4 linked regions of the Oryzias latipes genome follow. The main gene of each other region encodes a partner of the protein of the gene in region 2 in a complex. Links are inferred from orthologs where the notes say so. Each region holds a gene or a part of one and is shown on either strand. Other genes may lie near its edges.

The links.
Region 1: the proteins of eed (region 2) and ezh1 are in contact, whole or in part, in a cryo-EM structure (PDB 7KTP), measured with the Homo sapiens proteins. The link is inferred for Oryzias latipes from reciprocal best matches to the Homo sapiens genes EED and EZH1. Residues at the interface, in NP_003788.2 of Homo sapiens: Cys84, Val85, Asn86, Ser87, Leu88, Lys89, Glu90, Asp91, Trp103, His104, Ser105, Lys106, Glu107, Val112, Arg120, Leu123, Tyr124, Gln129, Gly130, Glu131, Ile132, Arg133, Leu134, Leu135, Gln136, Ser137, Tyr138, Val139, Asp140, Tyr154; in NP_001982.2 of Homo sapiens: Gly37, Ala38, Lys39, Leu41, Tyr42, Val43, Asn45, Phe46, Lys48, Val49, Gln50, Lys52, Thr53, Gln54, Leu56, Asn57, Glu59, Trp60, Leu63, Arg64, Val65, Gln66, Pro67, Val68, Gln69, Ser70, Met71, Cys83, Thr84, Ile85.
Region 3: the proteins of eed (region 2) and ezh2 are in contact, whole or in part, in a cryo-EM structure (PDB 8VMI), measured with the Homo sapiens proteins. The link is inferred for Oryzias latipes from reciprocal best matches to the Homo sapiens genes EED and EZH2. Residues at the interface, in NP_003788.2 of Homo sapiens: Val85, Asn86, Ser87, Leu88, Lys89, Glu90, Asp91, Trp103, His104, Ser105, Lys106, Glu107, Asp109, Pro110, Val112, Arg120, Thr122, Leu123, Tyr124, Glu125, Gln129, Gly130, Glu131, Ile132, Arg133, Leu134, Leu135, Gln136, Ser137, Tyr138; in NP_001190176.1 of Homo sapiens: Arg34, Glu37, Val38, Lys39, Met41, Phe42, Ser43, Asn45, Arg46, Ile49, Arg52, Thr53, Ile55, Leu56, Asn57, Glu59, Trp60, Lys61, Arg63, Arg64, Ile65, Gln66, Pro67, Val68, His69, Ile70, Leu71, Glu82, Cys83, Ser84.
Region 4: the proteins of eed (region 2) and jarid2 are in contact, whole or in part, in a cryo-EM structure (PDB 6C23), measured with the Homo sapiens proteins. The link is inferred for Oryzias latipes from reciprocal best matches to the Homo sapiens genes EED and JARID2. Residues at the interface, in NP_003788.2 of Homo sapiens: Pro95, Phe97, Tyr148, Arg306, Asn307, Tyr308, Cys324, Asp362, Ile363, Trp364, Tyr365, Arg414, Asp430; in NP_004964.2 of Homo sapiens: Pro109, Gln114, Arg115, Lys116, Phe117.

The regions. Positions count from the first base shown.
Region 1 is NC_019866.2:6,666,133-6,670,271, reverse strand, and holds the start of ezh1 (histone-lysine N-methyltransferase EZH1), read right to left. Parts: upstream 2,897-4,139; 5' UTR 2,562-2,896; intron 1,776-2,561; 5' UTR 1,760-1,775; coding exon 1,592-1,759; coding exon of another isoform or gene 1,586-1,591; intron 1,479-1,585; coding exon 1,353-1,478; intron 1,269-1,352; coding exon 1,146-1,268; intron 143-1,145; coding exon 25-142; intron 1-24.
Region 2 is NC_019860.2:2,260,053-2,264,426, reverse strand, and holds the start of eed (polycomb protein EED), read left to right. Parts: upstream 1-1,562; 5' UTR 1,563-1,589; coding exon 1,590-1,712; intron 1,713-2,429; coding exon 2,430-2,582; intron 2,583-2,670; coding exon of another isoform or gene 2,671-2,676; coding exon 2,677-2,769; intron 2,770-3,243; coding exon 3,244-3,309; intron 3,310-4,374. Other genes in the region: periodic tryptophan protein 2 homolog, read left to right, coding at 1-115. UniProt on the Homo sapiens protein: Polycomb group (PcG) protein. Component of the PRC2/EED-EZH2 complex, which methylates 'Lys-9' and 'Lys-27' of histone H3, leading to transcriptional repression of the affected target gene.
Region 3 is NC_019878.2:3,254,703-3,259,036, forward strand, and holds the start of ezh2 (histone-lysine N-methyltransferase EZH2), read right to left. Parts: upstream 2,818-4,334; 5' UTR 2,419-2,817; intron 466-2,418; 5' UTR 441-465; coding exon 327-440; intron 161-326; coding exon 116-160; intron 1-115. Other genes in the region: protein CIP2A, read left to right, coding at 3,890-3,991. UniProt on the Homo sapiens protein: Polycomb group (PcG) protein. Catalytic subunit of the PRC2/EED-EZH2 complex, which methylates 'Lys-9' (H3K9me) and 'Lys-27' (H3K27me) of histone H3, leading to transcriptional repression of the affected target gene.
Region 4 is NC_019869.2:23,737,125-23,740,742, forward strand, and holds part of jarid2 (protein Jumonji), read right to left. Parts: intron 3,566-3,618; coding exon 3,018-3,565; intron 998-3,017; coding exon 905-997; intron 803-904; coding exon 684-802; intron 593-683; coding exon 522-592; intron 416-521; coding exon 301-415; intron 230-300; coding exon 124-229; intron 42-123; coding exon 1-41.

The sequences.
Region 1 (4,139 bases), on a different chromosome or scaffold from region 2:
AAACAGCAGTTTCGGAACACAAACCTCTGTCACCATGGACACCATCATAGTTATCAATGAGCTCCTCCAGGAAAGCCTCGTCCTGTTCCAGTACCTCATCGCCCATGTAAGGGATGTTATGGAGGAACGTCTCATCCTCTACCTTCAGAAACACAAAAAAGGACGCAAGGCTCAGAGCTGTGTGTGAGTGTGTGCCAATGCCTCTTGTACAGGTTTCTCTCAAAAAAGAAATTTTATCTCAAGGGATTTCCTGGTAAAATAAAGTTTCAATCAAATCTGGATCAGCTAAAAGTTAATGAAAAATTGGATTGTAAATCCTCTCTCTCTCTCTCTCTATATATATATATATATATAAAACTTAAAGGAGATATTGAAAATAAAAAAAGTAAATTTATACTTTTAATATAAAAGAAAAGCACCTACACTATGAACCTAAAACTGTTACCAAATGATAAATGTTTGTTTATAATAGATGCTGTTTTGTGTTTTCAACTTTTGTTTTTTCGCTTCTCTCTGTCTTTGCTTTCAGTCCTCAATTCTTTTTATTAAGCCTTATTTGACATGGGGGTGGGGCTTTGAGCCCATTGGCTACCGGAGCATGATTGACATGTGGTGATAGAGATTCTGGTAACATAATTTCCACTACGAAACAGCGTCTGTTGATGGCGCGGCCGGTGTCATCTCTCCTCTAATGAAGCAGCTGTTACAAACAAATATTATTTTTCAGTTGCTTTTAGTTATATATTTCTTTTCATTCAAGTTTGAAACTTAAATTTTCAATATTGTATTGAGACTGCTCAGTTCTTCCCATTCTTTACATGTCAGTTGTCATGTTATTTTGTCCCAAAGATGACAATGATAGTGAAAAATGTCTTCATAATGTATAATTGCATGTGAAACAGCATCAAAAAATATTTGCCACTGTGTTAGAGGCCCTGTAAAAAATGATTTTCATGGGGCACAAAATCCCTAGCGGTGGCCCTCAGAAAAATGCCACATGAACGTGTTAAAAGCACCCAAAAGACAATTTTTGTTGGAGTGGGTGTTTAAGCTGATCCTTATTTGACCCCAATCAGAGAGTCATTGTTATCAAGGTAAGTTAAAATGACTGAAACTGCTCCCCAGTTATTGCACCACTCACATACCATGAAATTGTGCTGCAGGGGAGACCAGGAGTACATGAATGGGATCCCTGCCACTGTTGACAGTGGCCTCATGGCGATGGCTTGAGCTTTGAATCCTGGGAAACCAAACTCCACCGAACACATCTGAAAGAAAACCCAGAAAAACAGTCATTTTGGAGAACCTAGAGCAATATTCCTCATATATGGGCAGTTTCTAAACATCATCACCTTCTTATTAGCCAGTGCTACATTAGACACAGACAGCGGGATGGACTGAATCTTAAGCGTGGACCACTCTGAGTTAAGGACAGTAGTCTGCTGCTCAATCTTCTCCCGGTTGGATGAGAACAGGGTCTATAAAAACAGTAGAAATCCAAACACAGGTTTGAGTGAATGAGAAACAGGGACAAAGTACTTTATTAGTATTCAAATGGAAGATGCTGACACAACTCTAAATCTACCTTGACCTCGTCTGCTTTTTTAAGGCGTTTTAATTGGCGCAGGCGCATATACTCTGACTTGACCCTCCGCCTCCACTCCAGCAGGCTGCGGGACGGGGCAAAAGTGCAGGGCGGAGGCCTTGGCTGAGATGGGGCAACACTGGTACCAGGGGCAGGATGTGCTGTTTCCTCCATGACTGCAGGACAAACTCTGGCAAAACAAATGAGTCAAAGGTCAACTCACAATTCTGCCATAAAGAATGTGTTAAAGCAAACTGTTACCAGCTTCTTATAAAAAATATTTTTATGTATTTTTCCATTTTAGCTCATTTTTATAAATATTCCTCCATCTTCAAAGCCTGAAGGCGGTTTTAAAAAAAACAGAACACTTGCACTTTCCCATAAGCCACTGCTGCAGGTTTTTGCAAAACAGCGCCCCCCTCTGTTCGCAAAACAAAATTGCCATCTACTGGTAAAAAGCCCTTTTGAAGGGTGCTTTAAAATCTCAAGGTTACCCCATGATTATAGCCATACTTGGGGTAAAATAATAATAGTGAAACACGCGGAAAAAAGCCAACAGTCCAGGCATGCGTGCAAGCACGAAGTCCGTGGTTTTTTAGCCCACATTTCTAAAGAGTGGGCGTGCCTCGGCGGAGCAGAAAAGTGCGTAGCGCTGTTTTTTAGTGTTTCATAACCGCCTGCAAACATTTTCCCCAAAGATACAAGCTGAACACAGTGACAGATGAATAGCATATGAAAATGGAGCTCAGAAATTGTCGCCGTGGGTCTGATTTTCACGCGTAAACACGTTTCCACCACAGATACGCAGCGGGGCTTCGTCCTGAGGGTGCAGCCACAGCACCGTGGCGCACTACCGTGTCCATTTAAACCCAGAACACTTTTAAGACTTGCGCACTGACTCCTCTACAATGAAGGTTTTCCTGCACACGCGCGTGTGTGCGTCCAGATCCCCACGTCCAGTGTCGCAGTCACACACCTTTAAAATCCACGTCCGATTTTGGTGCAACGCGATCAAATCCCGGCGTTGGGAAGAAAAAAAAAAAGAAGGAAAAAAAATCGTTTGTGCTATGGATTAGACGAAAATATCGAGTCCAGAAGGCGAGAGGATCTCCGTGAAAGCAGCACGTTATCCAAACGCATGGTGCTGGAGGTTGTTGTTGGAGCGTACAAATAGCTGCGCACTTTGGTTGAACCAACCCGAGCACGAGGGTGACGTCTTTACTGCGACCAGAGCGCTTCCAAGCGGAGCTGGGATTTATGTCTATTCTGCGCCCTAGGAATAAAAAGTAGCGTGGAGCAGCAACGGCACAGCCATTACGCACACGCACAGGAACTGATGCAACTGCTTGAAGTACCATCTGAATGAATGACCCCTCTTCTTTGACCAAGGTGAAAAATAGAAAAACTAAAATGGAAATACAGCATCTATTTCAGTATCTACAATTAAGCAATTAAAAAAGGTCAAAGTGTAATTTATAGGGCTGTGTGGCTATAATAGAAATAACAATCGATCAAAAAACAAAAAAAAAAAAATGCAAAAACTGTTTTAACCAAATATAAATAGTCTTTCTTTCATTTCAGAATACAAATATCTGTAAGTGAGAGTTTCAGGTAAGACTTAATTGGTAACCAGCCTCCAGTTTTCTAACATTCCTTTGGACCTGTCTAAATATTTAGCTGCTGTTTTACATTTCTCCGGCAGGGGGAGCCCAATCTTATTATATTTAATGACCTGTTTATTTTTCTTTTTCTAAAATTGTCTCAAATACCTTATATACTCTACGAGTAAAATGGCGTGGTATAGTTTAATTAAATCACATTTCCAACAGTCAAAAATAATAACAGGTCTAACGTTTTGTTGCAGTGCTTGGATCTATTTCATTTGTAAATGTTTATGATTTGATTTTCAACAAAAGACTCCTGTCATAGCATGTAAAGGTTTTAATGTTTGAAGCCAAACTAATGCACATCGTTTATTCAACCTTACATACATTAAAAATCAGAATTTCAACCAAAAACACATCATCATATCTTGTTCCAGGATTTTATCACTTCTGTGGAGGTTTTTATAAATTATAAATAATCTCTGTGCATTTATTTTATTTTCTTCATTTTGGGAGATAAAAGTTCATAAACGTCCGAATTTTGAGACAATACTTCTATGAGACACAAGATGGCACTCTTCTGCTGCCAGTCATGGAATAATTTTACTTTTCTAACTCCTCATGCATTAAGACAACAATTTTTAACATCACATAACACATTGTGTTTCTTTTCTCTGCTCTGAACTGTTACACCACACCCGCTTGGGGTATTATTTATGCTTTTGGTTTGTGAAAGTGGTCATATTTCAGTCAACAAAGCACGCTTGGCAATTTAGAAGCAGTGTAGGCCGTTGCTAGCAACATGCTGATAATGAACTGTCAAAAGACAACAAACTGAATTTAGGAAGTGAAGACATTATCAGTTTTTAAAACTTGTGATGTTGTTGATTTTTGAACTTTCTATTGCAACTGGTTTCTTCAGATTTGGAACAAGACATTTCTAGTATCTG
Region 2 (4,374 bases):
CTTGTCCAAACAGAGAGGGATGAAGAGGCCAGCGGCACAGGAGGACGAGGAAGATGAAGGACCGTCAGAGGAGATGAGCCAAGCCTCTTTGGATGACGATGACATGAGGCTTTAGCCGCTTGAAAGTCTCTTAGAAGCAACATTTTATAATAATAGAATCTTGTTTTGTACCTCTTTTAAAAATAAATGTATATATGTGGTGTTAAAAAGTTTGGTTTTGCTTCTCCGATCATTTTTTAAACTATTTTAACATGTTCTTAATGGTTTTTTTAGTGAAAAGTCTGCTGTTTTTAGCTAGTCGTTTTCTAGGACATAGTTTCTGGGAGAGCGGCTAGCTCACTGCCTTTTAAAATCTCCATGTTAGTGCCATTATGCGGCACGTTAACCAATCAGGGACCCAGCTTTGGGTACGTGATGTTTTCAGTGACTCTATCAGTGGATGGAAAAAAATATCTGGTTTGACTGGAGCAATCAAGCCAGCTACGCTACCGGACAGAGTAGTGACCTCCGATGCCCAGGGTCCAGCAGAGCTAGTGGAGCTCTCTATGTCACAGGACATTATTTAGGCCCTTCTGCAAATCTATTTATGCAGTTTATTATTCTGTGCTACAGGCATTGGACTGTGACTACACGATCCGACCTATCCGTTGCATTGAAGTTTTCGCATTTCCTCTGTTTAGGGGATTTTAGCCACCTCATACCTTTGACAAAGCTGTGACATCGACTCAAAGTCATTAGACTTGGCTCACAAATGACTGGTAAGTCCACTGTGCTTTGTTCCGAATTGAAATTTAAGGCTGTGTACAAATTCCTTCGCTATTCACGACTTAGTGCACTACATAGTGCGTTCGCTGCCGTTTGTACTGTCCGGATGTACAATTCCCAAATCGAGTGCCCTAGAAATCTGCCAGAAGTCTGCGAAAAACCAGTGTAGATCAATATTCACTAGATTGGCAAATATAAACATTGCATTTAATTTTTTTTGCGAAAAACAGTTTAAATGTATGTTTTTAATAAACCAACATTTTCATCATTGAACATGTGCGAAGGCTATGCGCAATTGCATGCTTTGCTGTCTTTATATTTTCTGTCACTACTACAAACTTTGTCAAATGGCAGTTTTTCGTGAGCTCCCGATTCACTATTTGAATAAAGAAATACTCAAATGCTATTTTAAACTATATTTAATTTCCTTTTTGACTACTACATTATCAGAAAAATCCTACAAAAACATGTTGAGAACAACATTTTTATCAGAGTGGGTCTTTCAAGGAAAAGAAGTGATAAGTGCGTAAATAAATTTCTGTCAAATGCTCAATATTGTGTTTTTTTTCTTTCCAAAATTTATAAGTTTTTGTCATCAAAATGCCAGCCAACTTTTATTTAGCTCATTCACGTCGTGTAAATTACGTCATTTTAAAAAACATTTTTTTGAACACAAATGTAACCATAACATTGATAAATCACAGGAAAAATTACATTTCTTTTTCTTTGTTTCCCGCTTATTGACGGGAAGGTCCATTAAAAACCCCCATTCCCAGCAGCCCTTGCGGCAGCGCACCGGAAGAGGCGGGACCCTGTGCCGAAAAATGAGGGAAAATAAGAGCATGTCCGAGTCCCCGTCGCAAGCGGCGAAAGAAACACCGGCGGCGAAAAAGCAAAAACTAAGCAGTGACGAAAACAGCAACCCCGACTTATCGGGAGACGAGAATGTGAGCAGCCGGTACCGGACTGTGTGTGTGTGGTTTTTTTTTAAAAACGACGAATGTTTAATCGCGCCGTTCACGTTAGCTTCCTGCTAAATTAGCAGCTAAAGCTAGCATCTTTGTCCGTTTTGGTTAAACACCTGTAGATGTGAAACTCCGTTGATTACAAAAAGCAGCTTCATGGTCACAAAAACAACAAACAAAACTAAAAGGTTACGTACATTTCAGCTTTGGACACGAACATGCTTTACTTTGAAATTAATTTTGTAGCTAGCTTGCCTTAGCACGAGCATCCTAGTGTTTTTCGGCCATTTTATAAAAAAAAAAGATTTCTTCAAGTAAACCTAAGTGATTTCGTCTTCAAATAAGGCTCACACAAACCGTTGTCCTAATTTTTTAGTTAGATTTGAAGTCCTCAACGTAACTAAAAGGCTAAAGCGAAAATTATTTTATATTGCTTGTATTTTTGTTGCATATTGTGTCCTATTTACATGTATTTAGAACTTTAAATCAATACAATTACCTGTAAATTTGAGAAGAGCAACGGAAATTTTGAAACAAACTGTGAAAGATGGAAAATTTTCAATTTCGTTTTGCAGCTTTTATTTTGAAAATTTTCAAATATTGTGCTTTTATTATGAAAAGTGAAATGCATGATGGAATGGATTTGTTTGAGGACTTGTATGTTTCTGAACAAAAAAAACCCTGACATTGCGTGTACAGGACGATGCCGTTAGCGTGGAAAGCGGGACGAACGCGGAGCGCCCGGACACGCCCACCAACACAACCAACGCCCCGGGCAAGAAGAGCTGGGGCAAGGGCAAGTGGAAGTCAAAGAAGTGTCGGTACTCCTTTAAATGTGTCAACAGTCTGAAGGTGAGTCCACCCCCTGCTGGCCAATCCGACGTTTGCAACGCTTTAAAAAACGAACTGACAATAAAATGGCGATTTTCCTCTGACCGAGGTTCAGGAGGATCACGGACAGCCGCTGTTTGGCGTCCAGTTCAACTGGCACAGCAAGGAAGGAGACCCACTTGTGTTTGCCACCGTTGGGAGTAACAGGGTAATTTCTCCCTCATGTTGATCCAATGTTTGTTTTAATCACGCAAATCTGTGCTAGCATTTTGAATCCAAAGATCGTAAAATTGACCGTATATTAGAACTGAACCGAGTCCATGTCCGAACAATTAACAAAAAATTATATAGTGCAGGACTGTCCAGTGCCTTGGATTTTAACGAAATCCGAACACTTGCTAGCTACTTATTAAAAAAAATTATTAAGTACGACGTCACCTATTTCCTCAAGTAAAAAACAAATAAGGATGAACGTTTTACGATTGTTCTGAAGACGAAATCATCGTCCAATGAAAAAATGTACTTTCTCAAATCCAGTTTGTGCAATTTCATAGTAAATGGAAAGGCAGCTAGTGATGTCTTATATAATATAGCAAATAATCATTACAGTTTTGTTTGAATGTTATGCCAAAGCTTGATCAGTTTTTCGGGACCCTAAAGTTGTTTGTTTGTTTTTGTGCAGGTGACTCTGTACGAGTGTCACTCTCAGGGAGAGATCCGACTCCTACAGTCCTACGTTGATGCGGACGTATCCTTCCACCTTCTGCGGTACAAACTAGTCCTTGGTGGGCTCCGGAGCTGGTCGGGGTGCGTGTTGCTGTTTTTATATGAAGCATTGTCGTTTACGACACACTTTGAAGCTTTGCGGGACTATTTTATGTCAAATGTGGCAAACAAGCATGGAGGAAGATGATCACATGCAGCATCAATGTCAGCAAGATGACCAGCCAATTCAATTACGGAAGCTCGTACCTTAAAATTGAATATTTATCTGTAGAAAAGCAACTTTTGTCACTTTCTTTTGGGACCAGCAGATGCGCTTGATGTTCTTGTTTTTTAACGCGACAGTGCCCCCTGGTGTCTGGTTCATCCTAAATATGAATTCTTGCTGTGTTTACTGATCTAGAGCCTATTTTCTGTAGTCGGTCAATGCTTTAGTTCCACTTTGGGGAACTAGGATTGTTGGGCATTATGGGTAGTGTAGTCAGGAGCCTGACGGAGTGATACGTGCACATTAAATAGACAAAGTGCACATGGATAACCACACAATTGACTAGAAAAACATCCCATCAACACCTTTGACCAATCGCCTTCTTCCTGCCCTTTCTACGCATTCTGGGTTGTGTAGTTGTGTCGTTTTTTATTCCTGACAAATGTCTTTCGTTACCTACACAAGAACCACAACTAAAATTAGAGAACATTAATGAGTTAAAGTCGTCCATTGTGATGTCATAGCACTCATGGACCACAGGGCATGGAAGCGTCCTCCACTGACATAAAACTACAAGAAAGGTTGTGGCGGTCTTACTGTTACCGAAGTTAGCCACTGTTACGTGTTAGTAAAGTATTAATAACAGATAATTACATGAATTAACCGGATGAAATACCATGGGCATGTTTTTAAATAAAACTAATACATAATTAATAACTAATTTATAATATTTCCATGTTAAAGTTTCATAAAACTATTGAGTTAATTAACTAAATTGCTGAGTCATTTTTTATCTGTTGTCGGGGTGTATCGCCCTAATCGGACCACACAGACTCTGCAATCCCATCCTAAACTGTAAGCACCTCCCAGCTCCAGAAACTT
Region 3 (4,334 bases), on a different chromosome or scaffold from region 2:
CACGCAACATCATTCAATAAGACAGAATTGTTTGCCGTCTCTACTGAGGCGTCTGAAACTCATCTAGAAACGCACACAATGATTCAAAATATAAATAATTTAAATAAAACATTACAATTTTCCAGCTGCAGGTCAGATGCTGATCACCAACGCCCTCCATCTGGATAGTAATATTATTTTTAATTACTGTTCAACTCGAAAGTTTTATTGCAGGACTTTTGAATAACAGATTTTTTCAACAAAATGAAGAAAAATAATCAACGTGAAACAGTGTTAACATGAATATAAAGACCGCTTCAAAATGAAGAAGACCTTTGAGTACAAACCTTGACCTCGTCTGCCCGTCTAAAGCGTTTCATCTGCCGAAGCCTCATGTATTCAGACTTTACCCTCCTCTTCCAGCAGGCAGGACCCTTGTCTGAGCGTTTCCCCGTCCCCATGATCAGCCTGCAGCCACACACAGTCCTGCAACAGTACACACAAAATCTGTGTAGATTTAATCCCATCAGCTTTTCAGGCAGGAAGGGTCAAAGTCAAATAGCGAGGTGACGTTCGCTAAAATTCTTGCGAGTTTCAGCTTTGTCTGATTCTTTTCGTCCCAACTGTAATCCTGAGAATAAAAAATAAAACTAGTCTATTCCAGCTCATAGGATTTCACTCAAAGAAGATAAAAGGCTTATTTACAAGTTTTCTAAATGTTTATTCTCTGCTTACTGTTTCTTAATAAGGAAGATCTACAAGACAGAGGTGTAAATTAAATGTTTTTAACTCGTCAAAATAATGTTTATGGTGATTTTCATGGTTTTCTCTTTATCTTGTCTTAACATTTGCATAGAGATCAATCTGCCGCCCCTGCAGTTACTGCCAGATCGGTGAATCAGATTCAAACCTCACACTAGAGCTCGGATGTGTCAGACACCTGTCATCAAACAGCAGCGCCATGACACGTTGGCATAACTGAAATAAAAAGACTTGCACTTTCTGATCAAAAGGAAAAGGCGAAAACCTGGAAATAAAACAATAAACCTGGTATTCACCAACACTTTATCCAAACAAAAAGGCAGATTTTTAAGTCCCACTTTAAAAAAAAAGGCCTTTTATTGTTTTGATGGATTGTCAAAGCCTTTCCAGTGGTCTTTTAGTCATGAATATGATGGGTTATTTTCATTTTTTTTTGCCAAAATCAAAATGCCCGAGTCATTTTCTAGGACAGTTTCTGCAGAGCGGCAGTTTTTTTTTAGAAATTCAGCTCTTAAGTTGTGGCCGGGACTGTTGGTGTGGAATAAGCCTTCCCATCATCCATCTGTTTACTGTCGCCTGTTAGCTTACAGCCCCTCATAACCCCAAACTAACATTACCGGTGCAACAAAAATGGCAAGCAACATTGGAGCTATCCAGCTGTACAGCTTAGATCCAGATGTCAGCCCAGACGAGGAAAACAAAGACGTTCATGGATCTATCTATCTGACGGTGGATGCATCAGAATGGAGCGGAGCAGGAAGCCTTTGGCCTGCCTACTGTAGCACCTATGTCACACCTACAAGCTTTTTCCAATGACATTTCTCATCGGCACCTGATACACAACTATTTAAATGAAGAAACACTCAGAAGTGCAGTTTTATGGTTAATTGTGTTTAAATTATCCTCCTTCGTGAGGAAAATGCAACAAGAACATGTTCAAAGCACCAAAAACACCTTTTTCAATGGAGTGGGTGTTTCAAATGATCAAAGGTTTAATCAACAATTTCACAAAACTGAACTTTAAACTTGAAAGGTTGTGAGGTGTGTGTGGTCTGTGTTCTTTTTATTCATTGTCGGTGCACAGACTAGGTGATCACACAACATCCTCTACAGCTTTTCATGACTTCCTGAAGACAATCCTCATCTTCATAAAATGAGATGAGTATCGCCACCACCAGGAAGAATTACACAAACTGGTTGTCAAATTATAGAAATGTTCGTGCATCCTTTCGAGCAGGTGTTTGTCCACATTTTCATTGTGTCGCTGAAGTGTGTAACCCTGTCCTCTGTACAAAAGAAACTTGCTAAACGACTCAAGTGGTTCTTGAAACACATTTATCAGCCGGCTTTCGGTTTAGCTCCGTAAAACGTGCTTCTCTGCCCGCACAGCTCGGTAACTCAAGTTAAAAATAGACATGTTTCCCTACATTTGAACACTCATCAATTCAGAACACCGGGAGCAAATGTTTCAGCACTTTTCTTCATCAGAAATGACAAAACTGATGTAAGTGGAGCTGTCTATTCTTTGACAGCCATACAAAATGTGGCACGACAGCCTGGCGAGCTCAGCTAGCGAGTCGGGTGGTTAACAAAGAGACGGGGAGATCCACAAACCGAGAACAAACTCGGCCGATCTAGGGAAGGGCTGTATTTCGACACAGTGACAACCGCCCTCACCTGTACAGGAGGCTCAGTCCTCATTCAACGGAGAGATTCGGAATGGCAACGGTAGAGATACGCAAAGTCGTCCTTTGTGTTGGAGATTAGCCGCTCCGTGTCACTGCTAGCTGTAATGTTAGCTTGTAGGCTAACTAGCGGTTAGCTAGGCGGGACGGAGCGGTTTACTTAGCGCCAGAACCGGCTTCACGTCACCGAATTTGGTAAAAACAACGTTTACTTTACGTTTGAATCTAAATTAAATATTCCGTTTTTATATATTTTTTTTTTCATTTGAGTTTCCAGCAGTTACATTATCTGTCTCCTGACAACAACGATGTTATTTTTATATTTCCGCCTGCACTCAAACACGGTTCAAACTGCTCCCTGTCTGTCTCTCTTTCCGCCCGCTTTGCTTGCATCGATTCAAGAGGCGCCAACCCTTTGCACCAATCAAAGAAGTCTATCCTAGACGTTTCAGTGTCTCCTTTTACGATAGGTCAGCTGGCCCGACACTGATAACCAATAAGAATCAGAGAATCGCTGGGGCCCTGCGGTGGGGACATGTGCGCCGGTTTTCTTTGTTCTCCAAATTGTTGACGAAATAAAATATAAAACAACAGTTACATAAAGCACAAACGTTTAGCACAAACAGCACAACAGATTTATAATACAAGTTTTCAATAAAACATTTGTATAATAAATATTATTGATTAATCATTTAACATTTAAATTAATTTAGGAGCAATCCTAAAATAATATGAAATTGTTTATGCTGTTTTCATGTCCAAAAGTATGAAAAATATTTTTTTCAGTCATTTTCAATTTTTTTTCCTTCATGTCTTAATTGGTTAACTTCAGAATTCTCTTTGTGAGTTTGCAAAATTTGTAACAAAAAAGTTAAAAAACATTTGATAAATATTTTTTTTACATATTTAACAAAAAATATATTTTGTTACTTTTTGAGTGTGTGCGTGCGTGTGTCTGTATGTGTGTATGTCTCTACGACGGTGATTGGTTACCTGTCTTGTTGCGTCATCACTTCGGGTGATATCCATAAAATTGGGGAGGGGGGATTTTTAGAATTTTTGTTTGTTTGTTTATATAGAAAACTTAATGGTGACGATTTAATGGGCCTTATATAAAACACCACTTTCAATAAAAAATATACTACAGACTAATTTAGAAGGCAATTTGATGTTCATCCAGTCAGTTAAAAAAAGCTTTCCCGAACAACCTTTTTTGGACATGGTTCATTCCTTCTTCGTTCGAACCTGGAAGCGGGAGGACGTCGCTTTGCTTTAGTTGATATTAATGAATGGTAGAAAAGTGAAGTGGCTGAACAGCTATAAATGTGCTAAAATAAGTTAGCGGGATTTGTTTGTTTGTTTTTTTCAAATCACAGCAAGAAAATTGGTTGTCCCGCGACTAGTGTTTGCCGTTGAGCTAACTTGCTAGCGGGCGTTAGCACTTGTCATAACAGTCCCCCAAGATGGACACAACGACGTGTTTGAAGTCTCTGCTGCTGGCTATCCAGCAGTACAGAGACGGCAGGACGGCGCAGCAAGCAGCACAGCTTCAAAAACAGGTGGAGGTGAGCACCAGCGGTCAGACGTAGTCTTTGTCACTGCTCGTGTGAGACGTCATCTGTACTCTGTCACTGTGAGGAACAACAAACGCAGAACTCTGCAGCAAAACTCACCTTTATTTTGTCTTGGCACAAATGTTTGGTTCGTGTTTTTGTCAGAAACCCGCAGGCAGAGTTTGTGACCTGGAAACATGAATGTGATCAGGTTCTGATTTTGCTCCTGAACTCTTGGCCTTTCCCTGATATGCATCAACATAACAGAATTAAACAGATCATCTGGGTTGCTGACCAATCCAGAACCCTGCTGGCTGGCTGGCAAAGAAATAATCAGTCGAATTAGTATTCCATT
Region 4 (3,618 bases), on a different chromosome or scaffold from region 2:
TAAACCTTGATGCCTTCCCGGCATAGCACCTCTGGAGAGATCTGCCAGAGGAAGAACAGCGGTCATCGACCGAAGCAGCAACTTCAAACAGGATCCAAAGAAAAAGCTGGAGAAAACAGTCACCATGATGTTCTTCTCCAGCATTTCTAGTCCTGGCGTGCCGTTGGCTTGAAGCAGTGTGTGGACCACCTCGTCCAGCTTAGCCTTCTCCTCAGCAGGGACAGAATACCTGCCAGGACGGCAAAAACCATTTAGCTGAGGACTTTATGAGAGGAGAGCAGAAGCACCAACTCTACTTACCAAATGCAATCAGCACCAGTGTGTAAGTAATCAATATATGGAAGGCGGTTTTGGTCTCTAGACCAGCATGAGGTAGAAAAGACCATGCCAATGTTTAGCCAGGGAACAGTCACTCCTGCAAAGACACAAGACACAGCAAAGCATTAGGCGCCATTCATAAAGGCATGAAATAGAAATTCAAAAAGTTTAGAGTGCTTTGGAACAGAGAGGCCGATCCTTACCAGGCACAGCACCTAGATGCCTCAAAATGGATCCAGAGTTATTGGGGAGGACAGTGAGGTTCCAACCGTGTCTGAGAAGACAGAAAACAGAGATTTGTCCTGCGTTTGTGCTTCAGGGCGTCACGTTGGCGCCACGCCCGGCGCCTCAAACACGACACTCACTTTGAGAATGGCTCTGACTTTCCTGTGGGGAAACCGCTGCCGTGTGTGCTCGTGTCCACCTTCCCACAATGCACTGCCACGTGGGAGTCTCTCTGCTCTACAATCCTCCAGTATTCTTGCTGAAAGACAGAAAAAAGAAAATACAAATCATGATTTTAGCACCGATCTCACTTCAGGGGAAGATGGCGAGTCCACGACCACGTCAAACATCGGGCGCTGACCTCGACCTCGGCGGCCCCCGGCTCCTTGTTAAAGCACATGGTCATGGTGTTGCGAGCTATCCTGAAGAAGTTGGTCAAGGACACAGATTTCCCCTGCAACCAAAACATAATGTCAAACACTGGAAGGGATGATGATCAGGGGGTTGATGGGATTTGCAAAGTAAGAGCTGAAGCTGAATAAAACAATGAGTTAAAAAAAGACAGCTGGACATCAATGGACTCCTTCACTGCCAGACGGAGGAACACGCGTGTCCGTTTCTACAGCAAGCTGACCGCTCAGCACCAACAACACCGTCTCCTGCACTGTCTAACGCTATCCTCACTGCAATGACAGAAACAAGTCCAACATTTCTAACCCAGAAGTAGATTTGCTTTAAATAGGCAAAAAACAAATCTGCCAATGGGGTTAACAAAAAAGGTCTTACCTAAGAAAGATTTTCACGAACTAAGATTATTTTGCTATTGACAGACTTTCTTGATAAGGCAAAAACTAAGGATGTTTTTTTACCGTCTTACCATTCTGTTTTGCAGTTAGTGAAACTCTACCTTCATACACTAAAGACAAGCCTGTCCTGTCCTGTCCAGGTGGGACGGCCCTTCCCGTGTGACTCTGTCCCTCACAGGTCTATTGATCACTCCGGGTCGACTCACTCTATTAAATGGGGCGGGCGTTACCAAAGCAACAGAGACTGGAATCAAAAGAGCCTCAGATTTGGGGCGTTGGGTGTGTGGGGAGAGGAGCCACAGGAGCAGACAAACATGGCCGCCGCTTTCACGCAGTGACTGACAGCCTCCGCTCAAATCCCCGCGCCTTTACACCAAAACAAGTCATCTCCAAAGAGAAAGAAAAGGCGTTTAGGGTTAAAGTGATGAGAGGCGACAAAGAGCGAGGTCATCTGCCGATGGAGAAACCGCGAGGAGGGAGGGCTGCCGGGTAGAAACGGGAAGCTAACGCATAGAGACAGAGTGGAAGGGGGTTAGCATTGGGGATGGGGGCGGGGCTGTCGGATAGGTGTGGGGTGGGGGCTTCTGACCTACATTTCAGCTGGCCAGATCCTCACAGCTGCCCACAGGACGTGATGATGGGAACGCGACACGTGTGAGCGAGGAAGACCAAAGGCGCTGAAGAAAAAACCGAAGGATCGCCGGAGAAGACCGCCTCAAGACACAACAAGCTGCTGCCACTTCATGAGGAAATAAGACACACTATGTTGTGAAGTGAAAAGTGAAATGCTTTTTTTTTTGTTGCACTTTTTCTTTTTTTGTTGTTTTTTTTCTTTTCTTTTTTTTTTTTTTGCTTTTTTTTGTTCGGTAACCAAACCTTCTGCTGAACATTTGGAACGATTTGAAACCGCAGCAGCGCGTCAGCTGCTCCGATCTCATATAGTAAGACAAAAAAAACAGTCAGATGAAGCATAAAAAACTGAATTTTTGATCAAAGAGTAGGCAAAATATACAGTTTCAGTCATAAGTAGGTTATTTTACCTTAACCTCTGAGTTGATGGGATAGAACTGAAATGCACACAAGAGGATGCTAGGCTAAGAAAGGAAGTGTAAAGGGGCGTAAAGTCAGAGCGCCAATGAACCCTTGGTGCTCCGACTTCCACTATCAGTGGAATAAATCTTATTTTCAGGTTTGCAAATGGGTTTCCTTAACAAGTTAAAGAGTCGTGCTGTGGGCGGGGCCTGCTGATGTCATTTGAGGAAAGGTGGACTTCACCTCACGTTTGTCTCAATTCGGAATGAGCTCAGACAGTTAAAAAAGAAACAGACGAAAAGCAGCGAGCTCAACGGGCTTTTCAGCAAAAACCTGATAAAAAATGCCAGGATAGAAAAAAATAGAAACTAGTGGACGGTGTAAAAGTGTGTCTGATCAGTAAGATTAGACTAAAAAGTAAAGTTCAGGCAAATGAGGCTATGGGGAAGCAACGTCCACTGATGCTTCCCTGCCGTTGATGGAAACTGCTCACCTTTAAATGACAATAAGAGGTGTTAGCAGCACTTATTGACTTAAAGTCACATGACAGGCATAACAGGAAACACCCAGGGAACGGACATTCTTCTATCTGCCTCTCATCTGGGGTTTTAACCTTCGCGGCTTCTTCCTCCTTACCTTGTAAATGCATTTGTGTTGGTCGCCAAACAAGCCCCCATTTTCCTGCCCCGAGTGCGGCTCCTCCCCGTGCTGCCTGTCCTCTTTGCCTTGTTTTTCCTGAGCGAAGAGCCGGCGCCGACCCGCTTTGACCTGAGCCTTCAGTTCCTTCAAGCAGTGATAGACTCCGTTGGTGCGGTGATGCCCGGTCGTCCCTCCCACGATCCCGCCGACCAGCCCGTTCTTTGGCTCGTAGCGGGGCAGCGAGAGTCCGTTGGGTGCAGAGGAGTCAGAGAGGCCCTCCAGGGGGCCCCGCCGCGACTCCAGCCTCTTTTTGTCTTCCAGCACTTCTGCCAGCAGTCGAAGGCGCTCGTCGGCATTGAGTGAGTCGTAGGAGAGGATGTACTGGAGGTAGGCCTCCTGCAGCTTGGCCAGCCGGTCCTGCGCGGACTTGGGGATGCGCAGGAGGTCTGCAAGCTTGGTCCACTTCTTCAGGTCCATCACCTGCTGCATGCCCCCCATGTCGTTGATGAGCTGGAAAAAGCGCGACAGGTCCACTTCACAGCCACCTGCAGGAGGAGGACAGAAATCAGCTTCCACACATCTCTTTTGCAAAAACTCC